Drosophila melanogaster: one gene and its partners. Changing the gene in region 2 together with the main gene of any one other region gives a genetic interaction. Each region holds a gene or a part of one and is shown on either strand. Other genes may lie near its edges.

Region 1 (4,238 bases), on a different chromosome or scaffold from region 2:
ATTAAGACTAGCTGAGGCGCTCCACGGCCAGGGCGATTCCCATGCCGCCACCGATGCAGAGCGATGCGATTCCCTTTCTTCCACCGGTGCGCTCCAGCGCATAGAGCAAAGTGACCAAGACACGGGCACCTGAAGCTCCAATCGGGTGGCCCAGGGCAATGGCACCGCCATTGACATTTACTTTCTGAGCATCCAGCTGCAGGTCCTGCAGGACAGCCAGTGATTGGGCGGCGAATGCTTCGTTCAGCTCGTAAAGATCCACTTCCTCACGCTTCCAGTTAATCTTTTGAAGCTGAAAAATGTGAAAACTTAGGAGCATGTATAGAAGTGGAATTTCCGTGTAACTACCAATGCTTCCACAGCTGTGACTGGTCCCAGTCCCATCACCTTTGGCTCAATGCCACTCTGAGTCCAGCCCACAATCCTAGCCAGCGGCTTAAGACCCTTCCTGGCCACCTCCTCGCCGGACATCAGTAGTACGGCAGCAGCGGAGTCGTTGACGCCTGAGGCATTGCCAGCGGTTATAGAGCCGCCCTACATAAGCAAGAGAAAGTGGGTTAACTCTCGCTCTTCTTGTATTTATCTTAGACCCACCTCTTTGAAGGCTGCCCTGAGCTTCTGTATACCCTCGACGGTGCTGCCCGCCTTGATGTACTCATCCTTGCTGAATGTGGTCGTACCCTTGCGATCCTTGATCTCCACGGGCACAATCTCCTTGTCGAAGTAACCCTTTTTTTGGGCCTCCTCGGCTCGATTTTGCGACAGCACGGCATAGGCATCCTGGGCCTCACGACTGATGTTATACTTATCGGCCAGATTCTCGGCAGTGATGCCCATGTGTATGTTCTCCATGGCATCGGTTAGGCCGTCGTGGATCATCGAGTCCACCATAGTGCCCGGACCCATTTTGACGCCCTGCCGCAGATGCATGACGTGTGGAGCCAGGGACATGCTCTCCTGACCTCCTGCCACAACAATCTGTGCGTCTCCCGAGCGGATGGCCTGGTAACCCAGCGCTACAGTTCTGGAAATGGTAAAAACCATTGTAAATGTACGGAATTGTACGGGACAAACTCACTTTAAGCCGGAACCACATAGCATGTTTATGCCGTAGGCTGGCACCTGAATGGGCAGACCCGCCTTGAGTGAAGCCTGACGTGCTGGATTCTGACCCTGACCGGCGCTTAGAGCCTAACAAAGATATTTACATAACAAATAGATCGGTAAGATAGGAGGAGAAACAGTTATGATATGGGTCCCACCTGGCCCAAGATGACTTCGTTGACCTCCTGGCCCTCCACATTCGCCCGCCGGAGTACCTCCTGGATGACCACGCTGCCCAGGTCGGAGGCCTTCAGTTTAGAAAGCGTTCCATTGAAGCTACCTGTTGATTTTTCAGATTGGACAAACACGAAGAGAAAGTTTCCAATTAGAATGTGGTTATCGTGTATGGTGCAGCCGATTTATCTTGGTTTTACCAATGGGCGTGCGGGCGGCGGACACGATGAACACGTCAGACATTCTGGATGGGCAAGGAACAGGTGTTATTGACTTGGCTATTGAGCAGCAAATAAATTCTAATTTTCGAAATTGTATTATTTGCTGCCAGAAGTGTGACCAGGTGCAGCCAAAGCCCAGAAGCTGCACTTCTGGGGCCCAGCCCTACTAAAAACAGCTTGTTCTCACTTCAAATCACTGACATAAACAGGAAGACAATGAAATTATATATTTTGTAATTCGGATTTAATTATAAGTAAATGCGAAACTTAAGGGTTTTATGTTTGCTTTAAGGACGAAGCCTTGAAATAATTTACAAATCTTAGGGTGACCATTTCAATGCAGTTTTAATTTGTTTTAGTATTTTACAGCTTTCCCATGGTAAATTTGAACAGTCCAGCCGCGGTCACACTGCAGTACACAGAAAATTTACTTTTTTTGTTGAGAAAATTAGGGAAATTAACGCACAAAACGCGAGTTAAAGAGGCCCAGAACGTAAGGCGCGATCATCAGTCGCCCCGAGGACCACAAGGCACTGGAAAAGGAGTCGCGCTTCCAGAGATAACCCCGCAAAAGGACCCACGCAAGCAACAGTCCTCCGCCGCCGCCCCAAAAAGAACCAAAAACGCCTGAAGAAGAAGCACCCCCGCAATCAGAAATCTGCAATCTTCAATCTCCAATCTCTAGGCACATAGCACTCCAGTCCAGAAAGTCGAGGAAATCGAACCATGCAGGCGATCAAGTGCGTCGTCGTGGGCGACGGAGCCGTGGGAAAGACCTGCCTGCTGATCAGCTACACGACCAATGCCTTTCCCGGCGAGTACATACCCACCGTGTTCGACAACTACTCGGCCAACGTGATGGTGGACGCCAAGCCCATCAACCTGGGCCTGTGGGATACGGCCGGGCAGGAGGACTACGACCGACTGAGGCCACTGTCTTATCCCCAGACCGATGTCTTCCTCATCTGCTTCTCGCTGGTGAATCCGGCATCGTTCGAGAACGTGCGGGCCAAGTGGTATCCGGAGGTGCGCCACCACTGCCCCAGCACGCCCATCATCCTGGTGGGCACCAAGCTGGATTTGCGCGACGACAAGAACACAATCGAAAAGCTGAGGGACAAGAAACTGGCGCCCATCACCTATCCGCAGGGCCTGGCCATGGCCAAGGAAATCGGAGCGGTCAAGTATCTGGAGTGCTCGGCCCTGACGCAGAAGGGTCTGAAAACCGTTTTCGACGAGGCCATCCGGTCGGTTTTGTGCCCCGTGCTGCAGCCCAAGTCCAAGCGCAAGTGCGCCCTGCTCTAAAAGAGTTAGACAGTTGGTCGGTGGTGTTCCACCGACGGACTCTGCTTAAACGTAATATTATTAACTATAAAACCATTATGTAACCTAAGCGTGGCCAGGCTAAATGGCTCATCCGTAGTTTCTTTGTTACAATTTTGCCACTAATTTCCGCTGCTAGGGGGGGATTCCCCCAACCCAACCCAACCCAACTCTTGCTTTTGTTTCGTTTCCGAGTTCTGAGTTTGTTTCGAGTGTTCTGTAATTCATAATCCAATTATTCTGTTTATTCGTGCATTAATTTCAACTAAAAGTTAAAAGCGAGATGTTTCTAGACGAAATGGAGAACTGTAAACTCTAACTGTATTTTGTATTATTTAATAACTTTTGTAATTAAAATTAATGTTGTAAAACTGAGGTAAAACCAAAAACAAAACAAAACAAAAAAAAAAAAACAAACGAAAAACCTAAAAAAAATGTGAGACAAGTACGAGAATAGCCGCATAATGAGCATAAAGCATAGATGTCGCATAGATGTTGATCGAAGGTCCTGCGGAAGGGATCAGGATATTGAGTCAGTAAAGTAAACGTTCCATTGCAATTACACTTACATTATTACATACTTGTATTTAGATGTTGTTGGATATCGAAGCGACGGCGCGGGCGAGTAACAACTTTTTAAACTTTTGCTAGATCCAGGAACTATCAATATATATACATGTATGTATAAGATGAAAAGTCCTTCGTATACTATGTACTGAATTAAAGGCATCAAACTGAGCAACTTTGAATACTTTGTATTTTAAACGACAGATATTCAAGAAACAAAAGAAAAACAAAAAACATGAACGAAGCCAAGATAATTATATAAATGTGTCTATTTCAATGGAAATCAATAAAGCATAATAAAAGGAGTTTTGGTTTATTTATTGTGATATGTTTCTTATATTCTTCTGACATATCATATGTAGTGAATACTAGAAAACGATCTGCGCATATTAGGGAACTATGAGTGGGAAAGAGCGTAAAACTAGTTTTAGCTAAGTCGAATCACTCATCGAAAAGATATCTGAGTGCTCTTTTCTTCTCCAAGATCTTCGCAGCACCAGCACATATACTTACTTACATAGCTCACGCATTCAAATATTCTTGATTGTTTATCAAACTCCATTCGTCAATGGCCGACATTGGCCCTCGCTCGAGTGCTCACTGTACCCACAACGGAGACAGACTTATCAACGCCGAAGAACGAATTATTTTGCTTATCTCGGCGAAAGTCGAGAACCGAAAATAATCTAAATCAGCTTGAAACAAAATAACCGATTCCCGGAGCTCCTCACTTCTGGTTCTACACCGAGAAAGAAGTATTTATGGTTAGCATGAAAATAAAATATAAATATATAGAAGTAAATAGAATAAAAGCATTTTATTGAACATGTTGCAACTAAACTCTAAAAT
Region 2 (5,513 bases):
GTTCACCAACGCAATTCTTTATTATCAAACCCACATTTATTCGCGATGACACTTTGCTGTTATCGTTATCGCAGCATAGGAATAACAGTACGAAGTTGCCATCCCGATCTCTACACCGGTGAGAGTTGCCAGCCCGATTTACACGCCGGCTTATTCGATACTAATTGAGTTATCGAATGACCGTTTGTTTCGTTTAAATTTAGTATAACAGTTTTTTATTTAATCATCATTTTAAATTTTTTGTATTTTAGAAATGTTTTTATCGGTAACTAAATTATCTACTTTCCATATTCTTGTATGAAACAAAATTTTAAAAGTATGTATCGACTTTATATACCGAAATAATTTATATGGTTAAACTTTTCCATTTAAATTTTATGAATTTATACAAAGATTAAAATGTAATTAGCTCCTGAAATCAGGACAATGAAATGATTAAACTGGTATTTTAACGATTTAACTTAAGAAAGCGGGCTCAAAAAACAAGGATGAGTAAGAAATTACAAAGTTTCGCATATTGATTTTATTTTTTAATGGTTACTATATTTTTAAATACAATTTGAATATTTTATTTGTTGTAATAATTTAACAATACACGCCGTATTGTTGGTAAGCTTTAGTTTTCTTGTGACTGACTAAGGAGGAAAAAGTCGTTCTCTACCGCGTTCTATTATTTGTATTGTGTGCTTCGTAGTCCATGACTTCCTCATAGATTAGCTCCTTCCACTGCTCCACAGTGTGTTCCCTTTCGTCCACGCTGTGATCATATGGCTCCGGAGCGGGCTGCAAGAGATGCATGCAATTAAGCGATTAAAAACATTCAACATTCCTAGAAATCCAGTTTATGCCAGAATCACTTACAGCATCCACTTCCTCAGCATCATACCACACGTTGATATATTCATGCTTCAAAGCCTCGTCCACAGATATCCGCTGCTCTGGATCAATGACTAGCATTTTACTAAGAAGATTTCTAGCGTCAGAAGCCTTCCGGCGGCTATTCTGATTATTATCATTTGGAAACAAGCCATCGGGGAAAAGTCTATCAAATGAGTATCCAGTGTATCTAGGACGATTTTCCACATAGTTTCGGACGGTTGGCTGTAACCGTTGCATAAACGAGGGTGATGGTGTACCTAATTGCTCTGAAAAAACGTAAAAGTTGACAATCATAACGAGAATCAAGTTATTTAAGCAGCAACATACCAATAATTTTATTCCACTGATCTATATGATCCGTTCCAGGAAACAGCACACCGCCCCGTATCATTTCGCCCATAATGCAACCGACGGACCATATGTCCACGTTCTCTGTGTATCCCATGCCCAAAATGACCTCTGGAGCCCTGTAATATCGGGTGACCACATAGGGAGTCATCATAAAGGTAGTTCCTGCAGTACGTGCCAGACCGAAATCCAAAATTTTTAGAGTGCAGTCGGCCTTTACAACTATATTGGATGGCTTTAAGTCCTGCAAATGAAGTATTTCATATATTTCATACTCATTTTAAAGATGTATTCATACTGTACGTACTCTGTGAATAATTCCTGCTGAGTGTAAATGTTTTATTCCGCACAACATTTGATAAAGCAAATAGGACATTCTGTCGTGATCCAAGTCCATTTGGATGACCTGGCAGAGATTAGCGTCCATCAGCTCCATGACCAGGTAGACATCCTGAAACTCTTCCAAGTTCCTTTGCGGCGTAAAAGCATTAAGTAAGCCAATTATCTACGGATTAAATACCTATGTTTAGTAGAAATTTGTTAAAGTTAAAGGTGCAAGTTTCATACGTTTTTATGGTTAACAAGCTTCATTAGCTTGAATTCCCTATATGCTCGCTTGGCATGGGTTACATTTTGGAATGGTCGAGATAGTTTCTTAATCGCCACATTTTGCTGGGTGATAGTATCGTAAGCGGCGCTGAAATGCATTAAATTTGTTATTTTTTTTTTTCATATTCCAGCTAATCCCATCTAATCTAATCTAATATACAATGGAGCGTTACAAATATGACTTCATACTCATGCGAAATATCTTAATTGTTTAAGCCAAAAAATTGTTAAATGTATTATATGTAATAACATATTGATAACCACTTACCATACTATTCCTTGGGCACCTGATCCTATGGGCCGTAGATTAATGTACCGACTGTGGATGGTGAAGTTGGTGTCCCCCACCTCGACGGTGTAGTGTTGGTGCTGAGCTGTCGTCATTGTTCACTGATTTTATTTATTACTAGTTGAGAGCAAGGAGCATATCGGCCTTTTCAAGAGGGTAAATAAGATAAATCAATACGGTTTTACAGTGTGATTCTGTTTTATATAAGGAGCAAAGACGTCCGTATGTATGGCTCCATTCTGAATGGGTGGAGGCAGTTTTCAGACAACTTCGTCTGGAATTAGGGGGTAGGAAAACATTAACTTTGCCTGGCCTTATTTCGGCAGAATGTTATGGCCATTAAGTGGGTCTCTGTTGTCGCGAGGGGTGAAATTTACTGGCTAGTGTGTGGCGAGTTTGTTGCCAAACCACGAGCAAAAAATATCGAGTTCCTTCAAAAAGATACAATTGCATAACGCAGTCACTTATTTGAGCCGACTTCGAATGCCGAACCCCCTTTTCTATTGATAAGCATTTAAATGTTTGCCGAACACATGTCGAATATGGTTGGAAAAACACCCAACAGAAATAACCGAGCGTTTCGTTCTTTGAGCAAAGTGTTTAGCGGCACGCACAGGAAAAAAAACCGATTTAAAATCGATATGTCCGGCTTAAACATAAAAGTACGGAATGTTGGACCACAGCGATGTACATAGCGTTCATGTGTATGCATGCCGTTGCCTGTGTAAATATGTACATACACACGATTTGTATGCGGATGAAAACTGTAAACTTCTACTGGTATACATATGTGTAAGATGTAAGCCACATACATACATATGCACATACAGCCACACAAATGTGGGTCGATAATTTAGTAACTTTTCAAACTATCTCTCAGATAAAAGATATTCCCCGTATTCGTACATCGAAAAAGCGCTCGTTTGCGCTGCAGATAATAAAGCGGTCTACGCTTCGGGTAGTGTCGATATGTAAACGTTAGACATTTGCGCATACATAGGTACATACACTCTTTGGGCAGTTGACATTTTATGTTAAATATCAATAATTTTTTTCATAACCGGCACAACTATAATTGCTTTCAATCGATTATGGCACGTTTTGCAGGAGTGTTTCGGTGATTCGATATTTGATGTGAATGGAACGTAATAGAATATTTATTTACCATTTAACGAAGAAGTACAGAATTTCTTGTGAAAATATAAAATCGATTTTTTTTCTATTTTATTCTACACACTGGGCACTCAAAGTGGCGAGCATTTTAAACTATGTTAATGTTATTGAAATTTAAGAATCAACTATCTGCGGCACTTTCGCATGAGAATAATTGTACATGGATACAATACAATATACGAAAATCTATTGGAATATTCGATCACAACAAAGTTACTTAAATCGATGTGACCAGATTGCAGTAGGACCAAAACCAGAAACGGCTAAAGTCAGCCAATCGACTTTTGATTAAAATTAGGTTTAATTAGGGGTTTAAAACCTAATAAGTGTTAATAACTTACAAATAAACATATACAAATGCAATTTATTTAATAAAGACCAAAAACTAAGTTGGCGCAGTGTTTCATTTCACCGTTCCGGTCATTAGATATTCCTTTGCTCGACTTATCGAGTATACATCGAATGACGAATGAGAAATACTGTCATCACTAACAATAAATAAAAACAAAAGAGTTGAAATACACAGCGATATGAGGACGGTTGGTTTTTGGCCACTGATGAATCACATAAGCTGATAAGTGCTAATTTTAAAATCTTGTCCTTGCAGTCATCACCAGCACTTAAATACCTATTGGAGAAGGATGTTCAGGTGTCGAAGCATTTTGTAGTAGCCGTCTCCAATCTGTCGTTCTTCAAATCCCTGCGGATCCACAGCAGATTTCTGGAGATATCATGCGATGGAATCGCCTGGTTTGTCTCATGGATCGCCTTCATCTGGTTGCTCAGCTCGAAGAGCTTGTATCAAATGCAAGTCAATATGCTCTTCGGCCTGATACTCGACGTAGTGATCGTGGCCGTGCTGAAGGCGCTTGTTCGTCGCAGGCGACCGGTGGCCAGCAAGGATATGCTGACCATTGGACCCGATAAGTTCAGCTTTCCCTCAGGTCATGCCTCCCGGGCGTTCTTTGTGCTGCTGTTCTTCGCCAAGCTGTATCCGCTTCACATCATATTCCTAATGCCGGTCACAGCTTGGGCTGTAAGCGTGGCCATCTCACGGCTCATCCTCCAGCGTCATTATATTTTGGATATCTGCGCCGGTGCTGCCATCGGAGTGTTGGAGGCACTAATCGTGGGACTTCTGTGGATCAGCGAGGAAACTGCATTTAGCATTGTGGGCTTTGTTACCGAGGAAACTGTCGACAGCATGGAGTAACGATAAGTTACGATTGGAACACCGAAAGCAATAGATAATCTCTAGATCATTATGATAAATGCTTTAACCAAATACATTGTTAATGTTAAATTCATATTATTGTGTATTTCGCATAATTTTTCTACCCTTATTTCACTGTGAAAAGGGAAAGTGTACTTTAAATGAGACTAAAGTCGTTATACAACCATCTTTAATAAAATAAATAAAGCTTTTGAAGATATTTGGATTATTAATTATAAGAAATTATAGTGTAATTCCTTTGTTCCGAGTCATAGCACTCCTAAATATATCGATTCATCGATAAGGAGTCAACAACCCCAACGACTTCGTCGGGGGATGAAATGTTGTATGCCACATAAAGTTTTCGCGAAAGGATAAATACAAAAATATTTTCGGAATCGTTGGCATGTCAATTGGACTATTGAAATAACAAAAGGCTTCATATTGTTAGCTAGATTAAGCAATATGAACAAATACTCGGCATTTATAGTCTGCATTTCGCTCGTGCTTTTATTTACAAAAAAGGATGTGGGGAGCCATAATGTGGACTCAAGAATATATGGGTAGGTATTTTCACTGAAAGTTTTCCCAAGTTTCCGCAACAATAATTAGCGAAATACTTTTGTGTGGAATTAATAATTAATGAAATCATGAGCTTAACATGTTTTATATATTTTTAAATTACTAAACATAGTGTATACTCGAATGCAGAAATCTTTAGACGCCCTTATCCTTTTAATCCTTAAAAATGCAATATATTATTTGCCCTGCAGTTTCCAGCAATCATCAGGTATTTGCCATATTTACAATGGCACCATTTGTCGCGATGTCTTGAGCAATGCCCATGTTTTCGTATCCCCCAATCTCACCATGAACGATTTGGAGGAGCGATTAAAGGCAGCTTATGGAGTAATCAAGGAATCCAAGTGAGTATGATAACTATTTCAACATTCCGTTGCTAATGCCAAGTGCATATTTTCAGGGATATGAACGCAAATTGCC
Region 3 (4,986 bases), on a different chromosome or scaffold from region 2:
ATTCGTAGTAGTACACACCCGGAGCGGCGTCCGCGAAAACAAAATGGCGACCGCGTCAATCGACTTTTTCGCCAAATGTTCTTTTCTATGCTAGCGTTATGGCTTACCTTTTGATGTTGGCTGTGCTCTTAATACTGGTAATATTTCTATTTTGCTGCTTTCGGCGTAGTAAATTTTATACAATGAACAAACGCTTGTGACAAACTACAGTTTCCGAGATCAATAGAAAACCGTACAAAAGTCTATGTTAGAGTTGACAGTGATACGATGACAGCACATTCATCGATGGTTTGATATTTGGACGTGTCTCAGATTTCTATCGACTAGACATCGCCGATATTCGAAAATGCTCTTCGAATTATCGAAATGTAGGCATACTGCAATTTACGCGCGCAACGCAAAAATTCAAATAATAGAATATTTGGCTCAACAAGACAGGAGACTTTAGATGGAAAAATAGAATCCACAAAAGCAAAACTATGGAATAACTAAAACCACTTTTCATAAATAGTACACACAATCGATTTATTTCGTTTCTTTTTGTATGGCAAAAATTAATACAAAAAATTAAATATTAAATGTATGTATGTATGTATAAAAAGCTTAAAGCAAACTATATAATGTAAATTTAATTGGCTGTTTGTTTTCTCTCCGATTGATCTGTCAGTATGGTAAGTAGAAAGAAAGGCAAATCTCAAGAACTCATACGGATTATAATTTCATCATCGTAGCACCACAGATATGTGTTTAACCGAACATAAATCTAGTTTGGGGCTAGCGAATTTACTCGTTTGTGCGAAAGTTGCTGTGAGCTTATCGGCTTTTGCTTGTTTGTTCTCTAATGATGAATACTAATGGAATTCTGCTCGTGCGTGTGTGCGAAAAAAGATTACATTTATGTATGACTGTCGGGTTGAAACCAATAGATAACAGGGCTGTAAAAATACACAATATTTGTTTACATCGCGTTTCGGTTTTAAGCACGGAGTATCTGTTGAAGTACAAACAACATAGAATCAAGTTAAGTGCTGGTTGAAAACAAACGGATATAGCAGCTGAACCAAGGCAGTTACAACAGTATTCATAGTTTTTATGTAGAGGTACATATTCATTTTCATTTTCGATTTGCTTCGTTCGTTTTTGTTTGCTTGTTATTGTTAATACTCTTAAAAGGGCGCCTCGCAGCCTTTCAAACGACACAAAACACACACATTCACAAAATCATTTCGACGTACATAAAACTCTAGTTACTTAAATTAATTACAATTTCTCTTCTTTTATCTGACAATTGCACCGACCAACACGCTCCCACATGTGTGTGTTTTTCGCATTGTGTGTCCAAAATGGACAAACCATCGAGCCCAGGACGATCGGCGATTCGCCGACGCACATACAGACAAACAGGCGACATTTGAAGAAATAAAAAGTGAATAATAACCAATGCGTGGCCGTTTAGAGCATTTTACATTTAAATCTACGATTCGGCTTGTTCATTTTGCGGCCCCTCCGCCCCTTGTTGTCCTTGTCCTTGCGGATTTCGCGCACCAGTGTGTAAAATGCATCGTCCACGCCCATGCGCGTCTTGGCGGATGTCTCAATGTATGGAATGCCGTACTGTTTGGCCACCTGAGAACAACCATAATTAACGGAATGTTCGCTCGGAACTCTGAAGGCCGGTACTCACCTCTCTTGCCTGCTCGTTGTTAACGTTCCACGAGGCCAGATCACATTTGTTGCCCACCAGCACCATGGGCACCTCTTCGGCATCCTTTACGCGCTTGATCTGCTCACGGTAGGTGCCGATATCCTCGAAGGACTTCGCACTGTTGACGGCAAAGACCAGCAGGAATCCCTCGCCAGTCCGCATATACTGATCCCGCATGGCCGAGTACTCCTCTTGGCCGGCGGTGTCCAGGATGTCCAGCAGGCAGGTCTCTCCATCTGCAGGGGAATATAAAATGCATTTGAATATCGCAACTTCTTAAGGTCTCTTCTAGTATAAACGGGAAACCAAACCAGCGAAAGGGTGCAGAAATCTCTAGAGTATTTGGACCTGTGCAGCCCTAGCTTTGCCAGATCTAAGTACATATAACTCACCGATAACCACTTGCTTTCGGTAAGAGTCCTCGATTGTGGGGTCGTACTCGTCCACGAAATGGTTCTGGATTAGCTGGATGGTGAGCGCGGACTTGCCCACGCCTCCGGCTCCAACGACGACCAGTTTGTATTCCGTCATTTGGCTGTGGCGTCCGTTTTCGATTTGCCGTAGTCAAATGTCACAGTAACAGTCTCTTTCTCGCGATCGATGCTTACTCTCTTGTGAAGCGCCCGCAGATGCAGTCTCTCTCTCCGTACGCTTGTTGCGTGTGTTTGTGTGGGTGACTGTGCGTGTATGGGCTGCAAGTGGAGTAAATTATTAATTAAGATTGATTAAAATAAATTAAACGCATAATTAGGCAGGAATTAATGCACGTCACTGAGTCACTGTGACTAGGCGCTTACTCGCACAAACACACACGCACCACTGCATGCACACAGCCAGACGGGCAACACAAAAAAAAATGGGAAAAAGAGATCAATGACTCAAACTAAAATTAAAACCCATTCGCTCAATGCAAATTAGTTAGTCTCCCCCATAGCCGAGTTGTTAACTAGGTGAATTTGCTAATTCGGCGGCGTTGTTTTTAGCCCTTTTCTTTATTATTTTTCTTTTGCCTGCCGGGGCTGCGGACCTTCTTTGTTGCTGCCTCTTCAGCTAGCTCCTCCTTGTTTTTCCGCTCCGCTCCTCTCTATCAATACTCTGCCTCTCTCTTCTCGCGCGCGGCGCAGTTGCTGGGCACGTTTCACGTCACTTTCGCGGCTAACGGTGCGACAGGCGGTACTCCTCGATGGCACCAATTTAATTGCCGTGCGGTAATTGCAATTAACAGCGCAGGAAAACAATAAATCCGTATGTGAAATGAAGATGAAATCTAGGCTGTACGTAGCTGTGAAGATACTAGAGCTGGCACCAAGCCGATGGCACTATCGATAGCGATGGCTGCATTCTGGCCGGCACCATCGATGGACTTGCAATAGCGATTGCTATATGAAAACTAATCTAAAGAGGTGGATGCACTTCAGTCGACTCTCTATAATTTGCTTAAACTAATAAATGATTTGATCAATACAGCTTTCTGTAAAAACTGGCAGACGCTTTCTGCTTTTAATAATTGTTAATTTAAGTTCAACGGGCTGGCATCACCGTTTCTTAGCACGGACTCAAGCCTGAGTCTATTATTTCAACCACCACTGTAACGAAAACAGCATGGACAGATTGAAATTCAATAATTTGGTAAATAAACGATTTTATTTAAAATTATAGAGTTTTAATTAAAAAGAACTTTTACAGGTGATATCCAACAAGAAGGTCATTCAAAAGGCACGCGCCCAGACCATCGCCAAAATCGTACAAAAGCTGCGAAAGACAAAAGAGGCTCTGGCCAAAAATCCAGACAGTGAAAAGGAAAAGATTCGTTTACGCAAGAACACAGAATGCCTGGCCCAGTTGAAGGCTCTAAAATATATGGATATGGTACGCCAGTCGCTCCTGCAGGAGGGCACAAATCCCAATGCGGTGATTGCTAACGAGCGCTCCACGCCGGATGAACTGGGCATTGCCATGCTGCGGCTAAACAAATTGATGCACGGACTGGTGGACAAGTTTGTGGAAACCTTGAAGCTGAGCACCACCGATAAGGAGGCCAAGTGGCGTGAGGAGATCCTAGAGACGAGCAAGCGAAGGGCCAAAATAGAACGCACTGAGGAGCGGAAGAGGAAGCGCAAGGAGCTGAAGGAGCAGAAGGCCCAAACCAAAAACCGACTGGAGTGGTTAGAGCAGAACAAAGTGGTGGATGCAGATGTTAATGGAGCAACTGCGGAAACGCCCACTCTTCAAGTCAGCAAAGTAAATGATCAGGAAATACCACAGTCTTTTGCAAAAACTGAAAATTCTCCAGTTCTCAAAGTCAAAAAGGAAAAGACACCTAAAACACCAGCCAAAAAAGAAAGAAACCTTCAGAAAAAACAAGCTTTTGATGAGCAGATCAACCCGGAGATAACTAAGCTCAGTTCCAAAAAGCAGAATTTAAATACAATCAAGGAGAATAATGCAGAGCCACAACTAGAAGGCAGACCGAAAGAATCTAAGCCAAAACCCTTCGAGAAAAAACCAGCCAGAGAGCAGAAGCCTAAGCCACGATTAGAAAGGCAGCCAAGTATCGATGAAGAAGAACCACAACTTGACAATAATCGTCCCACACATGTCGTTGATCCCTTCTTCATTACGGAATCAGGCCAGCCCTACTTGTCCAGCGCCGTGGTTCTTTCCGGGGACAATGACAGCGAAGCTGATGAGGAACAGGCACCGCCGCCAGTCAAAAGGTTCCGCAATGAGGATCGACGGTCGAACACATATCGGGAGAAACCGGAAAGACAGCCAGAGTTCAAAGCGAGAAAGCCAACTGATGATCGTCATCCCTCCTGGCTGGCTAAGCAACAGCAGAAACCAATCATTGGTGATTTTAGAGGCAAGAAGATTACATTCGGCGACGACGGCCAGGCGGCGGAAATTATTGCTCCAAGTATCAATCAATTAACCGCTACTGCTGCTCCTTTGCCCACCGATGGCATGCACCCGTCTTGGGTGGCCAAACAGAAGTTTAAGCCGAAAATTGCCGCGTTTCAGGGCACAAAGATTAAGTTTGACGAAGATTAAAGATGATGTCAATGGTATTTTGTTGTTTTAATAACTAAATAACTGCAGCTTTGCTGCTCACACGCCAACTTTGGGCACATAGTGACCACGAATCTTGTCCTCGTTGCGCAGCTTGTCCACGTTGACATCGGGGAACTGGCGACGCAGCACATCCAGATCGAAATTGGGGTTGCGACGCAGGATCATCATGACTTCGTTGCGGGAGCGGCTGCAAAATAACAATTTTTATT
Region 4 (7,793 bases), on a different chromosome or scaffold from region 2:
TTTTAATAAAGACCATAGTAAGCTGGAATTGCACAAATAAAGCTGAGGGATATCTTTGAATGGCTCTTCATTTGAGATTTGAATTGAAAGCATTTGAAGCATTTTGAATCGAATTATACTAAGAACGAATATTCATTATTTAGAAGATTATAATATTTTCAATTGCAACTGGTAGCAATTGATTCAATTGATGTTTCTTAAACACGCTTACACAAGCGGGTAATAGCTACATATATTTTTATTCACTTTTTAGAGTCGAACGAGTATATACAAAATAAATATGATTTTCCTCCGTCTTCTGACTAATGCAGTATGCACGATTCCGATTGAGATTAGGTTTGGAGTGACTAAGACTAGGTACTACGAACTAATGGATTCACGCTGGCGATGAATCGCATTCACGAGCAGTCGCGGGGACAAAAGCTTAAACTGGTATTCCATCTTCTGACCGGGGATAATCTCTCCAATTTACACCTTGAAGATGCCAAAGTAGCTTCGGTTGTTTCCCTCCCGCAGAACTGCATTGCGATCGTTGTGAATGTCCTTCAGATGGATCCTCTCGTTTCGTTCCAGGTGGATCAGACCACTCGTGTGGCAGGTGTGCACCTTATGTGGCATGTTGGTGGGCACCGTGTTCAAGCACTGCAGGAATGGAGTGTCTCCTTGAAAGACGATAAATCCGTTCTGGTCGTGCGAGTTGTTGTAGCATATCTGGGCGTATACGTAATATAGGCCTGTATTGGTCACCGTCAAGACGCCATCGCGCGTTTGAAAGTGTCCCTGATAAGAGTTTCTCTCGTTATCATTTCCTATGTACATATCTCCATGGTAGCCTGAGAAATTCAAGAAGTGACTTCATTAGGTTGCCTGTAGTACTTGTATGTACACGCTTGACGCGGAAGCATCTCCTTACCCATACTTCCTTGGTGACGCCGCCTGCTGCTCAAGTGGAAATGGGCTGCTGGCCTCGAGTCCTCGGATCTGGCTGAAAGAAGAGATTCACCTGCAAATTAACAGAGGTGCGAATAGAGATTTGGTATTCGATTTTTGCCAATTGTTTCGCTTTTCTACACTACACACCTTTGCGGACTAGGAGGTGGCGATGGCGGGAATGCATTCTGCGACGGTGGTGAAGTGGTGCAGGGCTTCAAGTAAAAAGAAAATGTATACATATGTGTTTCAGTTACGCAGTTAACTATCTATCTTTAACCCATAGCATATAACTTCATTAATGGTTTTTCTTGCCTGTTTTCAACGGAACGTTCTACTTACCTCTCTTTGGAAGTTGCCTCATTGGATGACTTTTCCTGAAGCTCTGTGTGATTTCCTTGAATATTCTGCTCCTCATTGCGTACATCGGCAATCGAGCGAGATTTTCTGTGAAGAGGAAAAGCAGAGGCTTAATACGATAAATCCCTGAAAATTTCATCCGTGCTCACCTCTCCTGCTTCTTTTTGTGGGCATTGTAGCTGGTAAAGTCATCGAACACATTGTCATCATTTGAGGCTGAGGATGCACTGTCCGTCTCGCCCTCGCCCTCAGCAGTGGTCTCAGATGTGGGCGTGGTGCCGGTATGTGCATTGTTGAGTTTATTTAACATATCGGTGTAGTCCTCGTAGTCTGCGCCAACATCATCCACAGAGCTATAGCTAACGTCGTCGTCCTCGTCGTCCGCAATGGAATCCAGACCATCGCCATCGTCGTCGTCCTCCTCATCCGTGAGGCCATCCACCTTTTTTGGATAGTCGATGAGGGCATTCTCGTACTGCAACGAAGGGATGGGCATCAGCATTTTGGGTCAGAAGACTTGGCCAAGTACGTGACTGCAGCTGGCACAGTCCTGGCACATATCTCACATCCATTTGGGACGTTCATTTTTAGACACACGCCCGCAGCACAGGCTGTTTCGTCATCATCCTAATTGATGGCGCCTCGCTCAAAAACATGATACTCGTATACATATACTTGTGTACATCATACATATATTTAAAAGCGAAGGAAACTCTCAAGAGAATTGGCACCACAGATGCCCAGCCATCAAAATATAAATAAATCTTAAAATCTTAAAACCATCTCTGGCCATTAGGCCATTTGATGAGATTCGATCAATCGTCACATACAGCCAAAAGCGATCGCTCGCCTTGAACGACTATATCTACTGATAGAGCCTAGTATTTTTGTTGAATTATTGGGGCTTTTACCTTTTGTCACTTGGGGATTTGTATCTCATAAATTACGTGAACTGGCTGGCGCCTCATATTTGAAATGAGTGTTTCCTTGCGGAAAGAGACATTATAATTCAAATAATCTATCACAATTTTCTATGTGCCTTTGGCCAAGCAGCTAACAAAAAAAAATGAAACAAATAACAGATGAAACAGCGTCGAAATTATATTTTAGCACATAATTCTATAAATATTTTTGTATGTCCCACACAATAACCACATATTACGTCTGGTCATTTTTTTGAGGCATTCTTTTTCAAAAACAGGCGCATGGCTTACCGACTGTGAGATACCCTAGCCAGAGTTTGCCATCATAAAATGCAAATTACCCTTTAGGCAAAAAGAAAACTAAACATAATAGATACTCAATAACAAAAGTTCGATATACCCTCATTAAAAACTCAAGTACCAGCCTCAAGGAATAACAATCATTTCCGACTTTGTAAACAATTCGAGGTATCTGTATTTGCCCGGGGCAAATGTTACAGCCCCTGCCCCATCGCCGAGTACAAATATTGATGCTCGAAAGTGATTTACGCAATTGCTCACCTCCTTTTGGAACTCGTCGAACTCGTCCAGATAGTTTATGCCCAAACGCTGCTGGAGATTATCGACGACTCGCTTCAGGCTCTTCAGCTCCTTGTCCAGATGCGATACACGCGTTGTCTGCCAGATCTGCAAGATAAGATAATTCAATTGTTACACACTCATTCAGGCTCGTTTCTAATCATCCGCTCATTAGCAATTGGGCAATCAATTTAACGTAGCCCCAATTAAACATCTATAGCTGGTGCTAAGGCCCGGCACATCATATAACACCCAGTGCCGCGAACTTTTGACACCCGAAAAATATATAAAAACTAACTGAACAAACTGATAGAGGCGAGACGAGAAAGATTTCGTGGGGAAATACGGCGGGGTACGTACGATCGCCACTCAGCCACATAATCTGCTTAATGGATCATTAACATTCGGGCCGAGCAGAGGCCTTATATACGGACACTTCTCAAGTCTCGACTGGCAGCCGAAATCGAAAAGAATGGCTCAACTTAAGCCACTGTACGCGCAGACGGGGAAATATACACATGTACATACATGTAGGTACACACAACAACTTGTACTGAATTCTTGTATAAATTATGGACTTTACGCAGACCCAAGAAACTTGTTTAAGTTTCCAGTGAACCACTTTCCATTAGAGCTTATCGGCGATCAGTAGATCGATCGCAGCGCCTGCAGTTTGTCACTTTCTTAGAGGGCCCCAAATGATGAGGGTTACTTTGTACGAATGTCAGTGAAATTGAATTAAACAACGAAAAATGCTTCATGGCTTAACGGAGATTTATGAGGAAAACCGAACTTGAGGCCCACGTCAGTGGCTGAAGCCAATCATTTACAAGTCAATTGTCAATTGTACGATTTCCGTTCACTTAAGCCAAAGTTGAGTGGGTCATGGAGGAGTCCTGGGTGAGGGGGGGGGAAATGGGGGTGGGAGAGAAGGACCAGATTCAAGTCCACAAACTTAATCTTCTGCAATTCAAATCCGGATTTCAGCGAGCACACTCATTCGCAAAGTTATCAGGGAAAAACATGACACAACAACCCAGTCGAAGATTTATCGAATGCATAACAGAACGGACTCAGTGGCATTTAAATCGGTTGAACAAAAACAAAAGGGAAGAACAGACATGTACCGATAAACATTTCTCTAGCATCTGCATCCGCTTTATTTGGATTAGCTGGATCATTAGGAACCGATTTGGCCTAAAGACGTGTCGGTGATGACATCGCTTGATCAGCCAAGAAACCGCCGTTTTTCCCGCTCTAAATATAGTTTCATGCCAAATTATAGTTAACCTATCTGCGACGGTCACGGATCATAAAGTCTGTTTTCATTTCAATTTATGCATCCGCGGAATTTCGTCTTTAATTTGGCATCAACAAAGACTTTGTGACAAACAGCTTTATAAGCCGAAGCGTGCCAAAGGTTAAATATTCATTTTTAGATTGCGATTTCGGGGGTGTCTATACACATACGTTGTTAAAGTCCAATTTGCATTTATATTTATTCGCATTTTATTTTGGCAAGCTACTGAAATAAACATTTCCGAAAAATAGGAGTCTGTTCAGAGTCTAGAAGGCGGTTCATGGCTGAATGGAATCTCTCTGTTTTTATGCTTTCATTACTTTATTGGTGCAATCTGTTTTCCAGATAAAACTAACTGTCGTTGTGATGGTTTTTGGAGAGATAACTAAGCAAAATTATAAATTAAACTACCAAAATAAAACACTAAAAACACAATAAAACACAAATTCTACAAAAGTCTAGTTTAAGAATCAGTGTAATACCTTTACACTCGTTTCGAAACAGTCATTAAAACGGCCATATAATCATGATTGGCCCACTTTGGCGCCCAAAATATCATTAAACAACATAGCCCATAACAACTCATTCCTATCTATATTCTGGGGAAACTCCCACCAATAACTGATATACCCACACCTTTGGAATTCCGACGAATCATTAATCGCACACAACAAACAAAAAAAAAGGCATTCAAGTATGGAATAGCTATTTCAATTTGGAGGTGACTACTTTAATCTTTTTCAAATTATATTCATTAACTAAATCTATTCAGCACATTTGACGATTTTAGTGTGCTAAAAAACATTAAAAACATAAAATGCGACTGAAGAGATTGTACGACGCTCAAACACACATAAAATATGTTATACTATTTATTTATTTGTAATTATTTCAATACTAAGTATGATTTGTGCCACCTTAATTAAACATCTTTAAGCATGGTTTGTTATCTTAAGTAGGCAGATAGAGACGCAATGTTATCAATTAATAGCATCTTAATGAAAATTTTGTAGTACGATTTCATTCAGTTCAGAGTCTAATTGGTGTGTTTAGAATCGCGATAGTCGATCCAAATGGGCAATAATACCTGATTGGGCTGCTATTGGGTAAATGATTGTGAAGGAAAACTTACCGTTAGTGCGAGAATGGCAACGACCAGCCCCAGACCGATGAACCCCAAAACCAGGGGGATCAGCTGGCGGGTGCGTCGCTGGGCGGTCGCCGTGCTGGTCGCTTTGGCCGGAAAACCATCATCGTTGGCACTCGTTGGCGTTATAAACGGCTTGAGGGTCTCGGCAGTCATAATTGATGAACACTGGGGATCTTAGAGCAACCGGGGCCTCCAGATGCTGATGCTGATTCTGTTGATAATGACGACGATGATGATGATGACGATCTTGCCCACCCACTCAAGGGCACTCGACAGCTGTTTCCAATCGAGCTTTGTCGCACTTTATATGAACACACTCTATGTATTTAAGATACTACACGAGCACACAGAACAACCTCACAGACAGCATGAGATGATAAGCTGCGACATCTATATAGATAAACCCCTCGGGCTGCTGATGGTGCCCTTTTCAGATTGTATTACCACACTTGTTTTGTCTACTGCTTGTTTTTCTCTTCCGCGATCGGCAATTAGCAAAAGAAAAGCGCGAAAACAAGTTTCTCAAGATATTTTCTAGTTTTATCAGTTCTTGTTTGCGATAAAGGCACAGCGAAAACCAAAAAAAAAAAAAAAAACACAACACACAGTGGACGAGTTGCACTTATGTATTTTTAGTAATTTGCCCGATGGCGAAATTCAATCTTGGTAAGTAGTTAACTGAAACGGATAGCTTTTTTTCTTCGCTATCATGCACGCACGCGCTTGCTTGGGATCTCTGATTTACCGGTTTCTTTTCTCACTTTAAACGTCCGTTCGCGTCGACGATTCGAAAGAGAATGAATTTGAACTGAGAACGGGAGCGTGAACTGAGGGAAAACGAACCGAGCGGCACTTGATTTCTCACGTTCGAGCAGGCAGGCGAGCAAGAGGGACAACGGATTGGCACCGTCTCCCTCGCTCACGTGGCGAGGATGCGCGGCATACTTAAGGGCGCCTGCGCTGTTTACTTTGTGTAATTAATTTTTGGCAAGGTTCTCCCGGGGTGGTGTTTTGGTGATACAGTGGGCTCTGGCTAACAGGAATTAAATTAATTATTATATTTCTACAATTTTACATGTACATATGTATATGTAGATACGATTTTTATTTATTATAACAAATTATTTGTATGAAACTCATAATCATGGTGTGCATAAGAAATATTTACAAAAATATGATTTATAATATGATATAACACTAAATAATAGTTCATATAGTCTAAAGTTGTTAACAATTTAACAATGTTATCATAATTTCAATATCAAATTGAAATGCTCAAATAACGAACTTTAATAACATTTATCAAAAGAGAAGAAAATAGTGTATCTAATTTAGAATATTGGATGCCATATTGAAGACCATCTCATCGTTGTTTTTAGCCAAGACAGACTGTACTTGGTTCCGATTTCCCTTGCACATATGGCGATCATAAGTAGCAAAGCGTGTTTGACTTTTTGCGCAGTGTTTTCCACTGCTTTTATTTCTTTTTATGTGTTATGTGCACTTAAAACCTCCCCCTGTGATTTATAGGGGTTGCTCGATTGCTTTTTGAAATCGGCACCACTGTAAGCGGCTTGGCTTCGCATCCCCGGGTTTTCGCTTCATTTTCTTTGTGTGGCTGCTTTGTTCGAGCTCCCTTCATGACACTGACATGGAACAGATCCCCGATCTTCGATTCCCGAGCCGCAGCTAATTGAGTTCCGAAAAGTGGCGGATCGTTGACAAACCCATAGATAAGCCAAATGAACTTTTAGCATTTCATTAAAATCGTATTTATTATTACTTAGACCGACGATCGGGGTCTGTCAGCGCCGTGCCTAAGTACGGGTTCTAATTACGGGTAGCGGGGTAGCCATAAACCTAATGCTGATCCGATCCGATCAGCCACCGTCGCGACAACTAGTCTGCCGAACCGGCTGCCAAACAGACCCGTATCGTAAATCCGCCCAAGAGTGTCGTCATTCGGCAGAGATGCAAATGTCGGCGTTGGTCAGCTAATTAGTTTCTAATCGTCTGCGACAAACAGGTAACCACAGGTAGAACTGCTCAGGCCGTAAGAGCGGGGATCGGATGGCACACGCTTCCGGTGCACTTCTTAACCCATTAGTCGTTATCTGTTTTCGCATTGTGCAAGACCACATTTTTATTTATAATTTTCAATGTTCGGAAATGGTAAATCAATGATTTAAAATTATATACATATACATATGTATGTACATTTGTATATACAATAGTTTTTGAAAAGCTTCTATTACTTTTTTGTGTTTTGTATCTTACTTTTTTGTATTACATCATTTGTTTTATATAAATTCAGTTGTGAAAAGCTTAATTAATTATGGAATAAATCGGACGAATTGTTTCAATCTAAGCTCTGAGACCTTTTTGGTTTTATGCAGTGTTAATGAATCTGATTCAATGATCTGTGCAAACATATATGTACATATATCAGCATTGAGCTGGTATGTCGATGTACATGATATTGTAAGATCTAGATATATCACGTGCTTGCACAGAGGGTTAACCATCAGCCTCACTTAATGGAGCACGGCCA

Evidence for each region.
Region 1: of bsk (region 2) and Rac1, changing one suppresses a phenotype caused by changing the other (phenotypic suppression), as found in Drosophila melanogaster (4 studies listed by BioGRID).
Region 3: of bsk (region 2) and Ras85D, changing one suppresses a phenotype caused by changing the other (phenotypic suppression), as found in Drosophila melanogaster (4 studies listed by BioGRID).
Region 4: of bsk (region 2) and egr, changing one suppresses a phenotype caused by changing the other (phenotypic suppression), as found in Drosophila melanogaster (8 studies listed by BioGRID).

Annotation. Positions count from the first base shown.
Region 1 is NT_037436.4:1,300,334-1,304,571, reverse strand, and holds Rac1 (Rac1), read left to right. Parts: upstream 1-1,888; 5' UTR 1,889-2,225; coding exon 2,226-2,804; 3' UTR 2,805-3,693; downstream 3,694-4,238. Other genes in the region: Acat2 (Acetyl-CoA acetyltransferase 2), read right to left, coding at 8-292, 349-534, 595-1,024, 1,079-1,191, 1,263-1,384, 1,479-1,521. UniProt on the Drosophila melanogaster protein: During various developmental processes, regulates changes in cell morphology in response to extracellular signals.
Region 2 is NT_033779.5:10,246,991-10,252,503, forward strand, and holds bsk (basket), read right to left. Parts: upstream 3,512-5,513; 5' UTR 3,291-3,511; intron 2,753-3,290; exon of another isoform or gene 2,270-2,752; 5' UTR 2,221-2,269; coding exon 2,105-2,220; intron 1,925-2,104; coding exon 1,795-1,924; intron 1,733-1,794; coding exon 1,535-1,732; intron 1,472-1,534; coding exon 1,207-1,471; intron 1,146-1,206; coding exon 862-1,145; intron 784-861; coding exon 658-783; 3' UTR 512-657; downstream 1-511. Other genes in the region: CG31717 (uncharacterized protein), read left to right, coding at 3,829-3,837, 3,906-4,511; Ror, read left to right, coding at 4,977-5,074, 5,285-5,437, 5,494-5,513. UniProt on the Drosophila melanogaster protein: Mitogen-activated protein kinase and key component of the c-Jun N-terminal kinase (JNK) pathway which phosphorylate and activate transcription factors involved in a wide range of biological processes including response to various stresses, cellular proliferation, differentiation and migration, and regulation of cell shape.
Region 3 is NT_033777.3:9,510,056-9,515,041, forward strand, and holds Ras85D (Ras oncogene at 85D), read right to left. Parts: upstream 3,013-4,986; 5' UTR 2,733-3,012; intron 2,398-2,732; 5' UTR 2,237-2,397; coding exon 2,098-2,236; intron 1,942-2,097; coding exon 1,685-1,941; intron 1,627-1,684; coding exon 1,453-1,626; 3' UTR 506-1,452; downstream 1-505. Other genes in the region: Rlb1, read left to right, coding at 3,308-3,334, 3,392-4,756; mRpL47 (mitochondrial ribosomal protein L47), read right to left, coding at 4,814-4,964. UniProt on the Drosophila melanogaster protein: Ras proteins bind GDP/GTP and possess intrinsic GTPase activity. Plays a role in eye development by regulating cell growth, survival of postmitotic ommatidial cells and differentiation of photoreceptor cells.
Region 4 is NT_033778.4:10,076,614-10,084,406, reverse strand, and holds egr (eiger), read right to left. Parts: upstream 6,042-7,793; 5' UTR 5,396-6,041; coding exon 5,225-5,395; intron 3,795-5,224; exon of another isoform or gene 3,713-3,794; intron 3,620-3,712; exon of another isoform or gene 3,483-3,619; intron 3,220-3,482; exon of another isoform or gene 3,082-3,219; intron 2,901-3,081; coding exon 2,775-2,900; intron 2,155-2,774; exon of another isoform or gene 2,085-2,154; intron 1,766-2,084; coding exon 1,440-1,765; intron 1,378-1,439; coding exon 1,273-1,377; intron 1,146-1,272; coding exon 1,081-1,145; intron 1,004-1,080; coding exon 914-1,003; intron 834-913; coding exon 469-833; 3' UTR 197-468; downstream 1-196.